2 linked regions of the Cricetulus griseus genome follow. The protein of the gene in region 1 binds, or shares a complex with, the protein of each later gene. Links are inferred from orthologs where the notes say so. Each region holds a gene or a part of one and is shown on either strand. Other genes may lie near its edges. The genes, in order: Atp2a1 and Sln.

Region 1 (3,816 bases):
TCCCTGCCCCCTTCTCTGGGGCTGGGGCCACCCTTATGAGTGACATCTCAGGCTGCAGCCCCACTGTTCTTCTCTGTCAGCAGAAATCTCTCTCTTCTGACCCCTCCTGCTGGGGTCTCAGCCAGCCAATCCCTGATCTGGAGGAAGGGGGAGCCTGGCCCCCCCACTCCCTCATAAGGACCAGCTGGGGGCTGGGGGGGTGGCCGGCTGCTGCAAGTGGGACTGGGGTCAGAACTTCGTGGAAGGAAGAAGAATCTGGGGGGGGCAGGCAAGAAAAAGGAAGAAGCCTAGATCATCAGGCAGGTGGACACACTGAAGAAGTCCCCCCTCCAGTGAGAGGCCCCTAAGAAGGAATACATCGCCCCCCTGGCCCCCAAGAAGGGAGCACAATGGAGGCCGCACACTCCAAGTCCACAGAGGAATGTTTGTCCTATTTTGGGGTGAGCGAGACCACAGGCCTTACCCCAGACCAAGTTAAGCGGCATCTGGAAAAATACGGCCCCAATGGTAAGTATCCCTTAGAGGAGAGGCTGGTGTGGCTGCCCTCCCATGCCCATTAGTGGGAACGGCTTCCTCTGGGGTCTGTAGGGACAAGTAGGGCAGAAGGAAGATACTAAAGAAAACAGTTTTATGATCTGGAGTTTGGGGAGGTTTTCTAGGTGACCTTGAACTTCAGATGCCCTTTTGATAGCTGATTCTCTTAGATGCAAAGTTCAGGGTGTGGGAGACATGAGGCTGGACCCCTACTAAATTTGTCCTTTTCTTCTTTTTCCCTGGGTAGAGCTCCCTGCTGAGGAAGGTAAGTTATCTGAGCCTTGAGCCCTCCTGAGTGATACTTCTGTGTGTTCATCCCCGCTCCCTGCCTTCTCCAGATGCCCCTCCCCAGAGCTTGGTGTCAGACATCTCCAGATGTTTCTTCCTTGGAACTTCCCACCCTTGAACAATTGCTACAGATTTGAAGGGCCTTTTTGGCTGTTTCATCTCTTTCTCTCATGTCAAGCTGGGCTGCCCATTAACCCAGAGGTCCAGGGCACTCTATAGACTCTAGACCCTAGCCCATCCAGAGCCACAGACCTTCATCTTTTGGATCTTAATTCCTCTTCTTGCCTCTTCCCCCAGGCAAGTCCCTGTGGGAGTTGGTGGTAGAGCAGTTTGAAGACCTGCTGGTGCGGATCCTTCTCCTGGCTGCCTGCATTTCCTTCGTAAGTCTGGGGGCTGTCTGAAGAGTGGTGTCGGACTTGTGATTGATTGGCTGTGCCTCTTACCATCCTTGATGCCCTGGTCCAAGCCCTAAACACCCTATTTTCCATGCTGGAGCTGGGGGTGGGGTGCTGGTTTGCTTCCCTCCCTGCAGAGAGGTTTTATTTTAAGCCCTGAGAGTGTTCTCAGCCAAAACACTGAAGCTAAGCCACCCTCCCAGCTTCAAGGGCTTCAAGGGCTCAGGTTACCCCCTAAGCACAGGACTCCCAGCTTCGATGTGTCCACTTGGGGGTCACTACCACTCCTTGCCTGTCCTGGTTGGTCCCCACTTTGCTTCACCAATCCTTCCCTACCCTCTACAGCCTGTGATGCTGATTGGCCAAAAGAGACTTGCTTAGAGAGGTGGGGAAGGTGCTACTGGTACAGTGGTAGCTGCCAGGATGCCTTCCAGTCTCTACAACCCCCACACCCCACCCCTCAACTGTCTTCAGGCTTCACTACATCCTACTTCCATTAGGGGCTGGCACTTGGTGCCTACATCTCTTTATCCAGCCTGAATCATCCTTACCTTTTAGTGTCCCCAGCCCCCTCAGAGCCTTAGCTATCCCATCTCCTTGTTACATCTCCAGTGTTCACAGCCCCAGCTGCTGGCTCCTGTCATCCACCATCCCAGCAGTCTGTCTTACATTTTAGAATTTCTTTAGCATCTTAGCTGGAAAATAAGGTCTAAGAGGCCAAATAAATAAATAAATAAATAAATAAATAAAAATAAAGCATCTATGGAGGCCTCATGCACTCTGAGTCTAAGCTGGCAGCTCCCTTCTCTCTCCTCAGATTTGCTCCTTGACATTTGCCTGTGGCTGCTGCCTGGCAGTGGCAACAGCTGGGGTGGGGTGGGTGCTGGAGGCCTGTAACCCTACTCCCCTCCTGTTCTCTCATGAAATTGGAGCTTCCATGCCTTGGTGGTAAGGGAGGGCTGTGGGTGGGCTGGGCTCTTTGGGGACCATAGGGATTTTCCCGTTGGGCTTGGGTTCTTGTGGGGATAGATGTTGCTGTAGGGGTAGTTGACCCTGGGTGTTCCCGGCAGGTTTGCTTACAAGCCAACAATTTGGTCAGGGATACCTGAAAGCATTCCCAGTGAATCCTCAAGTGTGTGTCTGTACTGCCTATTTGCACACCATCACAAGGATGAATGGGTATTGTGTGCTCAGCGCCTGCAGTGTGAAGAACCTCACACTTGTATACATCGTCTGACATCTGCAGCAGTCTTAAGAAGCTTTCCAGTTCCTTTCTTTAGTCATTTGGGGGCTTTGTTACCACCTGCTATTCTCCCTTCCCCTCTCAGGTGCTGGCCTGGTTTGAGGAAGGCGAAGAAACTGTCACTGCCTTTGTCGAACCTTTTGTCATCCTCTTGATCCTCATTGCCAATGCCATTGTGGGGGTTTGGCAGGTTAGTTTTGACCCCTTCTCCCCACTTGTGTCTCAACACTGGGCGAGGGGCCAAGCCGCCTTCCAATTTCCCCTTCCTTCATCATTTCCCCTAGCTTTCCCCACTCCTCTGTCTTCTCATAGGACTAGAAAGCTAGGTGTGGTGGGACACACCTACAGCACTCCAGAGGCAGAAGCAAGAGACTCTCAAATTCTAGGCTAGCCTGGACTACAATGTAAAATTCTGTCCTAAAAAAAAAACAACAAAAAAACCCACCACCACCAACAAAAGCTATGCAAGGTTGAACATACTAATAATCCCACCACGAGGAGAAAGGAAAGGGGATGGAGTCAGATGTATTGACACACACCTTTATTCCCACAGTTGCAGGGGTAGAGACTGGTGGACCTCTGTGAGTTTGAGGCTAGCCTGGTGTAGAGAGTACATTGAGAATTCCAGGCCAGGCAGGGCTACATAGAGAGCCCCTATTTAAAAAAGAAATAGGAAAGAAAAGAAAAGGAAAAACAATGACTGTGTTTCTCAGGATTGATGCAATTGAAAAAGAACATGAAAGTTCAAGGCACATAGTAGGTACTAAATAAATAACTAGTTTTGATTTCCTTCTTCCTCTGACATTATCAGTTTACTTTTCTTGTCCCTTGCTCTCGGTTTTTTTTTTTTTTTCTTTTTAAAATTCCTTTCCTCTTGGTCCAAACCTTTCTCACTTGTTTTTAGCCACTGGCAATATATTCTACAGCAGACACACCCCTGCTGTGATGTGGGGTTCTGTGCACCTTTTGTGCCAGCTGGACTTGGATAAGCCAGCCTTTTCTGCAATGTCCTTACTTCTGCTAGGATCATAATACTGGTTCCTCTGTCTGCACATCCCTTACTCTTCCTGCATGTACCCAGACCAGCCTCCTGCGGGACCAGGACCATCCTCTCTCTCTGACTCCACTTTTTTCCTCAGGAACGGAATGCAGAGAACGCCATTGAGGCTTTGAAAGAATATGAACCTGAGATGGGGAAGGTCTATCGGGCTGACCGAAAGTCAGTGCAAAGAATCAAGGCTAGGGACATTGTCCCTGGGGATATTGTGGAGGTGGCCGGTAAGTGCTGGGATGGATGGTCCAGGAGGGAAAACTTGGGTCTGAGGCCAAGAAGAGAGCAGGGTGCCCATTAGCCCT
Region 2 (2,798 bases), on another chromosome or scaffold:
CTACTTCACCAAAATTAGTAATCTGATTGATAACATTGCCTATGATCTTGGAGTAGACTTTCCTGCACGTACAATCTGTATGCATGCTAAAGATACCATCTCTGCTGTCTGAAATGTTTACAATCTAGGCACATCCTGAGCTTGACTAAAAATAGCTGGCACAAGCTCTTGTTGAAACAGAAATGCTCATGAGGTTAACACTTGTTCTTTGGATTGAGTACCTGTTGTGCGAGGGACTTCTAGTTGACCTCTACAGGCTTTGTGCCAGAGTAGGCTTGTACAAAGCCATGCAGCTGTTGGAGCTACTTTATTCTTTCACCAGGGTTGGATGAAGACCTAGGGCAGTTTTAAATCTGAACGATGATGTTATATGTGATCCAAAGAAAGAGCAATACTAAACTATATTTTTCCCCTGTTTTGGTGTCCCTGCTTGCAGATACTCCAAACAGCAAAGTTAACACATGACATGAAGATGAAGAGAGAAAAATGCAATATTTTATTACTTACCTAAAACAATGCAATTAATACAGGATAAAAACATTGGTCTTAGGATGACAGCAGGAAGAGAAACTAGGCTATTTGTATGCATCCATGCTCTTCAGAGAAGCCCAGATAACTCTGTCTGTCTGTCTGTCTGTGTATGTTTGAGAAATTGATTCATATCATTTGAAGGTTGGCAAGTTCAAAATACTCAAGGTAAGTTGCCAGGCTGTAGCCTCAGAGAGGAGTGGAAACTTAACTTCAAATGAAATCTGAGGTCACATGTTGGGGACCAGGGTATCAGCAAGGCTGGTTCCTTCAAGGCTTTTCTCCTTGGACTGAGAATGGCCATCATTTCTGTTTCTGCAATGTCTTCCCTCTGTAATGGGTCTGTGTCCTAACCTCCTCTCCTTCAGACATCAGTCATACTGAATTAGTGCCCACTAGTAACTGATCTAGTTTGCTTCTCTTCCCGTGGTAAAACACTGACCAAAAACAACTTGAGGTGAAAGGGTTATTTGTAACTTACAGGTATAGTCCATCCTGGAGGAAAGCCACAGCAGTGTCTCAGGGCAGGAACTCGGAGGCAGCAAGTGGAGCAGAGACTGTGCTGGTTATTGACTTGCTTCCTCTGGCTTGCTCAATTACCTTTCAGTTTTACCTTATGTTTTCTTTTTAAAGATTTATTTTTATTGTTTAATATTTATTCTTATTATTTTAATTATATGCATTTGTTTGTGTGTGGGGGGGGTATGTGTACATAAATGTAGGTGCCCAAGGAGATCAGAGGCATCAGATCTCACCAGAGCTAGACTTCTAGGCAGTTGTGAGCCTCCTAAAATGGGAGGAATTATTCAGTTGAGGTCCTTTTCCCCAGCTGGTTCTAGGTTTATATCAAGTTGATGCTGAAGCTAACTATGACAGTGACCGCATATTAGCTTAATTACCTCTGGGAAGACCTCATCTCTAAACACAGTCACATTCTTAGGTCTTGGGGAATAGGATTTCAATGTGTAAGTTTGGGGGGAAGGGTTGGAGAAGTCAGCACAAATACTTCATTTTTCTCTGAAGGAAGACTGGACAGCTTCCGGGCACGCTCACTTATCTCCCATGTTGTCTTTCTTATTTTGTTAGGAAGCAAGGACAAGCCGGAGGTTCTTGGTGTGCTCTCAGAAGTCTGCCTGGAGTTCTCACTCAGAAGATGGAGCGGTCTACCCAGGAGCTATTTCTCAACTTCACAGTTGTCCTGATCACCGTTCTCCTTATGTGGCTTCTCGTGAGGTCCTACCAATACTGAGGGGCCATGCTGCACTTCTGGGAGTGACTGCTGTGTGCCCCGAGCTTCCACTGCTGTTACTGTCATGGGATGCTATTCTTGGTACCACACCATCTCTGACCCGCACTCACGATGCCTGACACTGTTGTGTGTTTTCTAAAGATGCTGTCCTTGTGGGCTGCCAAAAGCTTGTTAGCCAGTGAGCCTTAGGCTTGTTCCCTAGTAAATGCACGATTCAGGCCACCAGGTTAAAATTAAACTGTATTCCTGATGATGCAGAGCAACAACAATGTCTGGTCTGTGTCAACACACATCCCCCAACCCACCCTGTCTGCCACCGAACTAACTCAACCCTTCAGAAGAAATGTACACGGAAGTCTTTGCCAGTCCCTTGAGTTCTCATGTGAATAAAGTTAAGCCACTCATGAAAACGGCTTTTAGAATTTATTTTAGCTCCTGTGTGACCCTTGGCTGGGACTGAAGTGACAAATAGCACATTATTTCTAGCATTTGAGATTAGCCAGGATGCTCCAGCTGCCTAGGATCTGAAAGCAAGACAAGCCAGGGTGTCCCATTTCAAATGATTCCATTGCTTCTCAAACCTTTCCTCTGCTAATCCTACGGCCAGAGGGAGAATGACTACAGCCTGCTAGAGTCTTGGGTCAGAGCCTAGAGTGCCTGCTAAAAGCATAGAATTCCTCTTAAGTCTTGTGCTTTCCCCCATAGCTTTCACAAGAAATGGGCTCAGGAGGTGATTCACTCAGTAAAGCCCTTACTTTGTAAGTTCAAGGGCCTGAGTTTAGACTCTCAAGAGCCATGTGAAAGCCCAGGACAGTGGTGTGAGCTTGTAATTCCAGGTATGGGAAGATAGGAGGCAGAGACAGCTAAGACAGGTCCTGGAAACTTTCTGGCTGGCCAGACTAGCCTACTTGACCAAGTTTCACACCACGAGGGACCCTCTAAAAACAGATGGGGAGGCACCTGAGGTATGACACCTGAGGTTGTTCTCTAACCTTCCCATGCATGTGCACAGATGTTCATG

Evidence for each region.
Region 2: the proteins of Atp2a1 (region 1) and Sln are in contact, whole or in part, in a crystal structure (PDB 3W5A), measured with the Oryctolagus cuniculus proteins. The link is inferred for Cricetulus griseus from reciprocal best matches to the Homo sapiens genes ATP2A1 and SLN. Residues at the interface, in XP_069919846.1 of Oryctolagus cuniculus: Phe88, Val89, Leu96, Ala100, Ile103, Val104, Trp107, Arg110, Asn111, Asn114, Arg324, Lys328, Trp794, Leu797, Gly801, Leu802, Thr805, Ala806, Phe809, Trp932, Ser936, Leu939, Leu943, Leu946, Ile947, Val950, Pro952, Leu953, Ile956; in NP_001075856.1 of Oryctolagus cuniculus: Met1, Glu2, Arg3, Ser4, Thr5, Arg6, Glu7, Leu8, Leu10, Asn11, Phe12, Val14, Val15, Thr18, Val19, Leu21, Ile22, Trp23, Leu25, Val26, Tyr29.

Annotation. Positions count from the first base shown.
Region 1 is NC_048596.1:74,326,622-74,330,437, forward strand, and holds part of Atp2a1 (sarcoplasmic/endoplasmic reticulum calcium ATPase 1), read left to right. Parts: 5' UTR 1-389; coding exon 390-507; intron 508-781; coding exon 782-799; intron 800-1,119; coding exon 1,120-1,202; intron 1,203-2,545; coding exon 2,546-2,650; intron 2,651-3,599; coding exon 3,600-3,738; intron 3,739-3,816. UniProt on the Homo sapiens protein: Key regulator of striated muscle performance by acting as the major Ca(2+) ATPase responsible for the reuptake of cytosolic Ca(2+) into the sarcoplasmic reticulum.
Region 2 is NC_048597.1:165,582,244-165,585,041, forward strand, and holds Sln (sarcolipin), read left to right. Parts: upstream 1-1,618; 5' UTR 1,619-1,681; coding exon 1,682-1,777; 3' UTR 1,778-2,135; downstream 2,136-2,798. UniProt on the Homo sapiens protein: Reversibly inhibits the activity of ATP2A1/SERCA1 and ATP2A2/SERCA2 in sarcoplasmic reticulum by decreasing the apparent affinity of the ATPase for Ca(2+). Also inhibits the activity of ATP2A3/SERCA3.